2 linked regions of the Oryzias latipes genome follow. The protein of the gene in region 1 purifies or fractionates together with the protein of each later gene. This does not show direct contact. Links are inferred from orthologs where the notes say so. Each region holds a gene or a part of one and is shown on either strand. Other genes may lie near its edges.

What was found. Proteins that work in one complex are often made in the same cells at the same time.
Region 2: the proteins of nfya (region 1) and histone acetyltransferase p300 purify together in Homo sapiens (affinity purification with western blotting, with the first as the bait; 3 studies listed by BioGRID). This does not show direct contact. The link is inferred for Oryzias latipes from reciprocal best matches to the Homo sapiens genes NFYA and EP300.

What each region holds. Positions count from the first base shown.
Region 1 is NC_019865.2:10,743,601-10,748,666, forward strand, and holds the end of nfya (nuclear transcription factor Y subunit alpha), read left to right. Parts: intron 1-29; coding exon 30-176; intron 177-496; coding exon 497-625; intron 626-843; coding exon 844-946; intron 947-1,045; coding exon 1,046-1,197; intron 1,198-1,615; coding exon 1,616-1,789; intron 1,790-2,061; coding exon 2,062-2,172; intron 2,173-2,285; coding exon 2,286-2,342; 3' UTR 2,343-3,496; downstream 3,497-5,066. UniProt on the Homo sapiens protein: Component of the sequence-specific heterotrimeric transcription factor (NF-Y) which specifically recognizes a 5'-CCAAT-3' box motif found in the promoters of its target genes.
Region 2 is NC_019866.2:19,374,817-19,380,443, reverse strand, and holds the start of histone acetyltransferase p300, read left to right. Parts: upstream 1-1,522; 5' UTR 1,523-3,267; coding exon 3,268-3,361; intron 3,362-5,006; coding exon 5,007-5,614; intron 5,615-5,627. UniProt on the Homo sapiens protein: Functions as a histone acetyltransferase and regulates transcription via chromatin remodeling. Acetylates all four core histones in nucleosomes. Histone acetylation gives an epigenetic tag for transcriptional activation.

The sequences.
Region 1 (5,066 bases):
TTCTGCAACAACTCTGTTTGTCTCTGTAGGTCCAAGGCCAGCCCCTAATGGTTCAGGTGAGCGGTGGGCAGCTCATCACTTCGTCAGGCCAGCCCATCATGGTGCAGGCCATGTCTGGAGGTCAGGGTCAAACCATTATGCAGGTTCCTGTGTCTGGAGCTCAAGGACTGCAGCAGGTAAAGAAAAAAGCCTGGTGGTTGAACATCTTAGTCTTAGAAACGTGAGACTCTATTGGTAAAGGAGAATCCAAGTAATGGTTTTAGTTTAAGGAAAGCTTGCAGTGACAACCTTCTAACTTCACTTGATAATAGTTAAAAACAGACCCCTTGCGTGTGACATTACTGCAGGGGTCTGTGTAATAGATATTTCTTCCGCAGACCAACTCATTTGCCCTTTAAACATATGTAATCATATTACAGCGAGGTGTTGACAGTATGGAATCGCTGAATTTTCTTCTCCTGTGCTGCTGTGCCCTGGAAAACGTGTCTGTGTGTAGATCCAGCTGGTACAGCCAGGTCAGATACAGTTGCAAGGTGGCCAGACTCTTCAGCTCCAGGGTCAGCAGGGTCAACAGCAAATCATCATTCAGCAACCGCAGACAGCCATCACAGCCGGACAGAACCAGGTAACTCATCAACTCTCATCAACTCAACTTAACACTCTAACTGCTTATCTGTTGGTCCAAATCTGACTTATGCTTCAGGGCATTTGTTTAAGTTGGATATTGACAGAATTGAATTCCAGGTCAAGCAGTTAGACATCATTAAAAAAATATATGCTGATCATTTTTGGAGGGAATTTTATTAGTAAGATTTATTTTCCTTGACCTCTCCTCTGATACAGGGGCAGCAGATCAGTGTGCAGGGTCAACAGGTGGCACAGACAGCTGATGGACAGACCATCGTGTACCAGCCGGTCAACACAGATGGATCTGTCCTGCAGCAGGGTGAGCCCAGCCTCCGCCACTCTATTTTTAAAGCTTTATAGACCGCAGCAGCATTGAACAGCATGTCTCACATGAGATGATTATTCTTTTGTCGTGCAGGAATGATAACAATTCCAGCTGCCAGCCTGGCAGGAGCTCAGATTGTACAGGCAGGGGGTGCCAACACAAACACTACCAACAGTGGCCAAGGCACTGTGACCGTCACCCTGCCCGTCTCCGGCAACATGGTCAATGCAGGTGGAATGGTCATGGTAAGACCCTATGCCGTGGTACCCAACATCATACCCCCCCTGCCCCCTCTTTCCTTTTTCTAGACTAACACCAGGGTGCGAGGTGGGTCAGTGGATCTTTTAGATTGTGATTGTAATGTTGGCAACATAATCTTGATAATTCAAGGGTTACTAATTTATAGGTTTGCACTAACCACCTCTTGTAGAGCACGAGTACCGGCAGAAGCATTTTTACTCTCCAGGAATAAACAACCTTTTTTAAAACTAACTAAAGACATTCAGTCAACACACTCTTCTTCTCTGTTTTCATGTGAAGTTTAATTCATTCACCATAGACATCTATGTACATCTATCCAACTCAACAGCTGTGTGTGTGAGCATACACTATGAAGATATAGAGGTCTAAACACTGTATGCTTTCTTTGGGGCTTTTTTGTAGATGGTTCCTGGAAGTGGAGGAGTTCCCACAATGCAGCGGATCCCCCTGCCAGGGGCTGAGATGCTGGAGGAGGAGCCTCTGTATGTCAATGCCAAACAGTACCATCGTATTTTGAAGCGAAGACAGGCCCGAGCCAAACTGGAGGCTGAGGGCAAGATCCCCAAAGAGAGGAGGGTTTGTAAAATTTGTCATTCTAGATTATTAGTTTGTATTAACAAACAACACTTGTCAATAAGTGAAGTTGACACATTTTAGGAGGAACCTAAAGCGTAAAAGAGGCTCTTTGTGATGACTTCATGTAAATCTCTAGATCATCAATCACAAAGCTCGGTCATTAGCTTAGCGTATTTCAAGAAAGAATCAGAAAGCGAGGAGAAAAACCCGTAGCTAACTTGGTAATTGGTAAATGTTTCTGAATGTCATTATTAAAAGAAATATTTTGTTAGCAGAAGTATCTACACGAGTCTCGCCATCGTCACGCTATGCAACGCAAGCGAGGAGATGGAGGCCGTTTCTTCTCCCCGAAGGACAAAGAAGATGCATTGGGCTTATCGCAGGTAAGATCAGATGTTTTTTCAAAGCTTAATGAAGTACCTGTGAGAGTAGCTTAGCTTTTACTGCTGATTTTTATTCATGGATGTATGTATTTGCTCTGTTGGTGCTGGAGCAGGATCTTTCTCAGTCTCCACCAGATGAGACAGTAGCTCAGATGATCCGGGTGTCATAGAACCATCGCCGCCATCAACCCTTTCAGCTGAACTCTACCCTGCCAGAGATCCTCCATCCCAGTGGACATCTGGCACACTTCATGTCATCTGTTCTTCTTTCTGCCCCGCTGCACCAAATACCTCACCAGGGTTTTCCTTGTGTCTCTCATCCTTTTGACTGGTCTTCCAGGGATCTGGTTGTGCAGTTGCTCACCCAGTGGACTTTTCTGGTATTGAAATTAAAACGGAAGGGCATCATCATGCTCAGCTTTCACTGCCGAGCTCCAAAGACCAGTTTTTAGTTTAGTTAAGGACCTGTTTGGACGATAATGGAACATGGATTTGTTGCTCAACATTCATGGAGATTAAATTACTGCCATGAAGCCATACTCTGTCAAATTTTGGTCTAATGGTAGGAAATTCAAAATGTTATTTCCTGCTGAAAATTTCCCCTCCTTTTTTTGTATTTGCAAACGACAGCAGTTTTCTTATTGTTGGAAACACAAGTATTTTCTCTACACTGCTGTTCTGTACCATTTTTGTGATGCCCTTTATAATGTAGTTATATCAGCTCATGTTTTGTGTGGTTGGATCCCATTATCTGCTGTGTTGAACCCGATGTTTGGTAGTAATATGTAGATAAAGACAATATGTTTGTTTTTTCTTCACCACTGTGAATAAAACAAACCCCAGTTCTGTGCATGCTTTTTATGCAGTTGGTAAGTTGTTTTTTTTAAGGAAAAAAAATACAGTTTTCTATCCTTGTATTAGTCTGATTTTGGTCTTTTCTTTTCATCTGTTGGTTCATTGTTTGGTCTTTTCATTGTAGATAGTTTTTTTTTAATTGCCATCAGATGCAGTTGTGCAATTTTATTTTTTATAATGAAAGAGGAGTGGACATGAATCCTAAAAATAACATTTTTATTAAGTTATTAAAGGCTGTTTGTGGTTATTTCATAATATATTTTATACTTTATTTCTTTAGTGAGGACTACTACTGTGAATAAATGTACCGGTACACCTTTTTTTGTTTTGTAATGAAACAAAATATGTTTGGCCTTTAAAGTCCCACTTCAAATATCTTTTCGATCTATTTTAAAAGCGTTTCCAGTGGTCTTTTATTTATCATTTTGCCATTTTTAGCTAAAAAATTAAACAAATGTGTCATTTTCTACAACATAGTTTCTGCAGGAGTTAATCAAAAATTCACCTCGGGGTTGTGGGCACCACAGTTACAGGGACACGTTGATTGGTCAAGATGCATTATGGGATATGTGGTGTTATCCTAAAGCCTCAGGCTCTAAAGTCTTATTTTGGAAATTGAACTGCACCATCCTTGAGCATGCGGAAGTGATTTTTGAAATTCATTGCTTAACAATTTATTGTAATAAACACTAGCTGAACCCTCATTCTGCAACAATTGGGAACTTTTGAAATACGAACTTGTCAATTTTATTTTAGAAAATATAGCTCTGACTTGACGAAAAAAAAGAAAAGCTGATGAGACAGAAGTAATACAAGACTGCACTTCTTACATCTTAACCAACAAAGGTCTTTGATGAAACAGACAAGACAGCTTTAATAGATTTACAGCACAAGTTAGATGACATAAGCAAAAAGCTGAAGGAGCATTTATCGATTGATCTATTGATTTAGGAGGAGGTGGATTGAAGGAGAGCAGAACTCAGACTATTTTTTCAGGCTTGAGAAACACCAGTCCAATATTAATTCTATTTTACAATTAAATATGAATGAGGTTATTTATGATGATAAAAATACTATGACAAAATATTGTTCTGATTTTTATTGTAAGTTTTATTCTTCCAACTTCCCTTACCTTTCTTAACTCTGTCAGTAACATTACTCAAGTGAGTGAAGCAAACAGTGTCTGTTGTGATGAGGTCATTTCTTTGAATGAGGTCACAGATGCTATGAAATATATTTAAAAATAAAGAAACCTCCTGGAACAGACGACCTTATTGTCACTTTCTATAAACAGTTTTCTGACAATTAAGCTCTATTTTTACAAAAGGTTTTTAAGGAAAGCATCGACAAATATGCGCTCCTTCCTACTTTATCTCAAGGACTGATTACCTTGATTCCTAAACCTAGAAAGGATCCTCTTTTCTTAGTTGGCGACCGATCACCTTATTGAATTGTGATTATAAGAAATTGGAATTCTTTGGAATATTTGATTCTTGCAAATAGAATACAGCCTGTCTTGGATACAATTATTGACAAAAATCTGGATTTTTGCAAAATCGTCATATTTCAAATATATATTAGATTACTCAGAACTTGTGCAGGATGACAGTGTCGAATGGAATGGAAACAAGTTTATTTCGAATACATAAAAAACACACATTTAAAAAAAAAGGAGAAAATAAAGAAAACGTTCACACTCGAGAGAAAAAAGATTATTATAAACACAAACAGAAAAAACATGAACACATGTGTTATGAACAATTATACAACTATACATATTCCAAAAGGAGTGAGAAGAAGTATTTACTTATATAAACTCACCTCCTATTCCTCATCAATATTAACTACATTAGCAAGCAGCTTCTTTATTTATATAAAATGTTTTATAATATAATCTATGTGGCTATAAAATATAATAATTTTTCTAGAGTCCTGTCATAAATACTGAGAATAATCTACAATTGAAAAATACTATGCGCATATTAAGATAAAAATAATATACCCATACATTTAATGTACATATGTATACTTACATATAT
Region 2 (5,627 bases), on another chromosome or scaffold:
AGAATGTAAAAGAGATGAAGAAGAGTATGCAAGCAGGTTGGAACAGGTGGATGAAGGTTCCCAGTGTGATGGGTGACTAAAGAGTGTCAGCGGGAATGAAGGAAATGAGTAAAGACTGTGGTGAGAGCAGCCATGCTGTTAGTTTAGAAGCTCTGTGAAAGAGACAAGAAGGAGAGCTGGAGGTAGTAGAGATGAAGATGTTGAGACTCTCTTTGTGATTGACAAATATGGATAGGATCAGGAATTAATCCATCAGAGGAATGGCTCATGGTAGATATTTTAGAGATAGAGGCATAATTTACTGAGGTGAAAACTCAAGGTAGAGCCCAAAAGACAAAGTCAATTATTTTGGAGAACTTGCAGACATTCCGATATTAAATATGTGTGTGTGGGGGGGGGGGGGGGGGGGGGGGAGGACACATGATTGAAAATCACAGCACCCTCCACGGACTGGTGATCTGTCCTGGGTGTAACCCCTTCACCCAACAGCAACTGGGATAGGCTCCAGTAACCCTGAAAGGGATGGATGGATGGATGCTTGCCACTTAAAGGCAAACTGCCATTATTTTCCTCATCAAATATTAACATTGCAGAGGAGTACAGGACAGTTTTTTGTTATAATAAGCATGCTTATTATAACAATATGAGACCTTATGAAAAAGAATTATGAAAAATGTTGCTATCTTAAAGTCCCACTCGTCTTGTCTTTTGATCTATTGTAGTGAATTCCCAGTGGTCTGTTTATTCTACCAGTTTTAGACAAAAAAAAAACAAAAAAAACAGTGTCGTCAGTTTCTGGAGAACGGTGAGAGTTCATTAGAAATTTACCTCTGATTAGTGGGTGGGAGTGAGTCTGATTTCATTTCCCATCATCCATTTGTTTACACCTTCTCTAGCTGGCTTACAGCCCCTCACCACCCCAAAGTTATATTAAAGGCATTTTTTGTCTGCTTCTCCTTTACAACGATTAGAATAAAGAAATACTGAGAAACACTGGTTTTATCCTCATTTTCTTTATATATGTCTTCCATCATGGGGCAAATGCCGAAAGGACGCGTTAAAAACACGGTTTTACTTGGAGTGGGTATCAAACTCTCAAACTCCAATTTGGAATTTATCTGATTGTGTTTTAACATGTGTAAACCTGTTTTTTTTTAATCATCAGATGTCCAAAATGTCTAAAATGTATGCCAGGTGTCGTGTTTTTTCTAATTATTTTAGGCTTTTATTTTCAAATACCGGCAAGTGAGTTATAGTTTGAGTCAAATAAACAGTTTTTACTAAAGTAATTGGAGGAGGGGTCGTCAAAGTTGTAGTTTTAAACCGTTTTGGGGGTAAAAAATGGTGAGTCGGCGGCGGAACTCCTCTTGCTTTGGACTTAAAGCAGAGAAGCGGGGCGCCGCTGGCCCCCGCAGATTGAATTCGATGACCACCGATCCGCTAGTGGACCTCTTCCGGACACTCCCGAACACTCACGAAGACAGCCTCTCCTCTTCTTCCCTTCCTTCCTCCTTCCCTCCTCCCCTTCACGCCTAATGTAGCCGTACCTCAAACCCTCCCCCCGTATCAGAGTAGAAACAACAAGCCGCCATTTTGTTGTGCGGACAGACCGTCAGAAACAGGAGATAACCGATAGAAGGAGCGACTCCGGCAGCCGACGGCAGCCGCTCCGGGAACCGCTGGGGGAAGCGAGAGCAGCCGAGTCCTTTCCGTGCTTTCCGGCGGAGGGGAAAGCATCACGACCAAAAAGATAAGACGTCCGTGGAGGCAGAAAACCGCTCGGCGGCATATGTATTTAGGAACATAAATGTATGCATGAGAAGGAAATACGCCGAAAAATCCAAGGAAGGGGGTGTTTGCGGAACGGCGACGGGGAGGAGAGGCGGAAGAAGAAGGGAGCTACGAGGAAAAAACCTGCGAAAAGGAGAAAACATCAACATGAAATTTCAGAATGTGTTCGCCGCGGAGGAAGGATCGAGCCCGCATAGACAATTATATAAATAAATTGCTGCCGGGCAGACGGGAGAGGTGGAAAGAAAGAAAGACGGGTTTAAAGAGAAGGGGGCAATTGCCAGGACCAGCACGAAGGGGGGGCAATCACCATCACAAAAGAGTCCAGAGCGGATTTTGGTCAGCTCCGAAATATTTCAGGGAGGTGTTTATGGTCATCTGAAGAAGAAGAAGCCATCATCTTGTCGGGTGATCTTTACTGTCATTTGCCTGAAAATCCTCGTTTCGTCCTTTGCTCTGCTTTCTGCTTGTCCACGCGTGGCCGAGGTGTCCTTTTAAACCAGGGGGGGCAGAAAAAAAATAAAGAAAAGTGACAATTTTTATCCGGCTTTTTTCATCCGAGAGGGAAGGAGCACAAAGCAGATCTTCCAAATGAAACTGCCTGGATCAATCGAGCTGTCCCGCTGATCGCTCATTAGATGATTGCCTTCAAGAATTGAGGAAGAAAAAGTGTTTTTTGTTTTTTTATTCAGGGAGATTTTTTAAATCTTTGCAATCTGACTGCAAAAGACAGCTCTGGTTGGGGTTGCATCAACCAAATGTGCAATACCTGCTTTTTTTCTGTGCCTTGCATGGTCACTAAGTGCACAGCTGAACGAGCAGAACTATGGGATGGATTTGATTTTTATTTGAGTGGATGCAGGTGCCCCCCACCCCCCATCTTTTTCTCCTTTTTTGACTCAACGCTGCCGTTTACTTTGGAGGACTAAAGGAATTTCCAGTTGTCCGATGAGAGATGCTAACAGTGGATTTGTGAAGCCCCTGCAGGAGTTCTCCAGAAGTTATCGAGGGGATACCCCCCACGCACACATACACACACACACACACTTGACTGTCGCCAAAACAGTTGTGGATCCTTTACTGGTGGGGGGGGTTTCTGTGTGGATGATGGCCCGCAGGACTGAGAGTGGCTCAGTGGACGGCTCCTGGGACGCACAGGAGGCTACATGAGGTTGTCAGAGGGCCGCACGTTTGCCTTTTCGCTGACTCCACCTTCCCACCTCCTCCTGTTCAAATCTGTGAAGAAACAAAATCTCCGACAGGGGAGGGGGGACTGATATCTGCAGAGAGGTACAAGCCGAGGGGGAGAACTGAGAGAGAGAGACTCCAACAGAGCCGTCCTCTCCCCTACCGTCCCCCCGAGCGGTGGGGGAACGATCAGAAACACTTAAAAACTAAAGGGAGCCGGAATAAAGGGAACACACTCGCCCTCGGTGGATCTACAGAGTTTTATTCTTATTTTTATTCGTAAAAAATATGGCCGATAATGTCCTGGAGTCCGGCCCGCCTTCAGCTAAGAGGCCCAAGCTATCCTCTCCAGCGCTGTCTGTCTCTGCCAGTGATGGAAACGGTATGTTGCATGCACACATGATGAAGAAAATTAAGATACTAAACTAGCATCTTTCCGGGGGGCTTTTCGTGTCACGCGCGTAGTCGGTAGTTAAGTCCCCAAAAAAGTGGCACAGCAACTTAGTTTGGTTTAACTCTCTGCTGTCCTCATATCTGTTTACATATTTATGTGCTTGCGGTTTGTCTGTGAAAGTGTCTAAAGGCAGATCCGGAGAAAAGCAATGCAGTTGTGCAGCGGGAGCAACTTCCCAGCAGTTCTGTTTTGATGTTAGCCTCAACAGGCTAACTAGCCCCAACTAAAAGATTCACTTCCAAACAATGGGAGTCAAGACACATCAGTTCGCTTTCAGATATTTGACCACTTTAAAGGGGACTTGAGTGGGAGAATTGGAGCGCGTGCACTTCAAATGAAACCCATACGACATACCCGACGAATTTCCAGACAAATAGCAGGCATTTCCGAAGCAGCTTTAAGGGAAAGTAACTGCAACCGAGGCGAGCGGGCGAGCTAACTAGCTTAAAAAGACACCCCCACCGCCGGAGCGGCTCAGCTGAACTCTGTAAAGAAAATAGGAAATGGTTTGTTGCATATTATTCTCCCTTGTTAAAGCTCGCCTTTCAGTCATCACCAAACTCTTTGTTTGTTTTTTTTAAGCTGAAAAGCACATTTCATGTCCTGGAAATACGTTTTTCCATGGATACTCTTATGGATGCAGAACTATTGTTAAGCTAGCTATTGTTCGTCACTTCATTAACTTGGGTGATGGTTCAGCAGCTACCAAAAGTAGCCATTAATACCTTTTACAGTTTTATAATAAAAAAACAAAAATCGCAGAAATCAAAGTTGTAATTCCTGTAAGTTTGTCTGTTTTTTATTTTCTCGAACTAAATTGATTTAACGCTTAAAATTTTCTGTTGCCTCCCATTGTCTAAACTAAAACGGTGCTCCTTATTTTTTTTGTTTGTTTTAAAAATGACACTATGTTTCATTTCCAGAATGCTAATAGTTAGCACTTAACCCTACAAAGAAAATAAACTTTAGTAGAATGGCATAATTTCTCCTCAGTGCATTTTGTTACTACAACGCTTGGTTACACTTAGATTTTTACTTATACACATCTGTTTTTTTTCCTCTTATTTACCCTGAAATAATGCACATTAAATTCCGGATCTTTAATGAACACGCTCATTTGGACTCTGTTTTAGGTCAGGTTGAAAGTCAGAAGTGTGCCGTTTTATTTGTGAAGTTTGAGTTCAGGCTCTACGTTAGGAAACTTTTTTCCCCCTTTGGTTACATTTTGGGGTCGTCTAGATATTTGATCTTACAGCGTCTTCCTGCGTGTTGAATTTCTCGAACTTTTTACATTTTCGCGCCCCTGTACCAAATAACTGTATAAACTATCCAGGTAGTGGAGTGTTTACCTTCTGCGGCTTCCCACCTTGTCCACACTGCGTTTGCTCTTCATGTATGGAACTGCACCAAACCACAAACAGACACCCAGGAGATTAGTGCAGGTTATGAGAGGCTGCCGCTGATTTATTATAGAGGCTAAAGGGAGAAAATGAAGAGATTATTTCTTGTTTTTAAATTGATTTGAAATGTTTTCTTTTGGTCATCATTGAGATTTTTCTGTTTTCTTGGGTAGATTTTGGTTCCCTCTTTGATCTGGAGCATGACCTCCCAGATGAGCTCATCAATTCTTCAGACCTGGGGTTGACAAATGGAGGGGATGCCAGTCAGCTCCATACCAGTCTTGGGGGGCTTGGAGTCGGGATTGGTGGGAGTGGCCAGGATGCGGCTGCGAAACACAAACAGCTGTCTGAGCTTTTGCGTGCGGGAGCACCGGCTCAACAGGGCGGTCCTACCTCCAGCAGTGCACCATCTGGGCCCTCCATGGCAATGATGGGGAACATAAATGTTTCTTCTAGTGGACCTCAAGGCATGCACCCTCAGGGCCAGCAGCAACAACCTGGATTAACACAGCAGGTTGGAATGGTGGGAGGCGTGCAGGCGCTCAGTCGGGCAGCTGCCTTGATGGGCGCCCAAAACGGCAACACTGGACAGCAACATCAAGGGCTTATGGGAGCTCAGGTTCTGAACGGCTCGCCTAGAATGGGCTTCCTCGGAAATGCTGGTATGGGTACCAGTGGTAATCTGTTGACGGAGAATTTGCAGCAGCAACAGGGGGGTCAGTCGGTCGGAGGCGGCGTTCAACCGGGAATGAGACCTCAGCAGCCGGGAGCGCTAAACAAGGTGAGCACAGTCG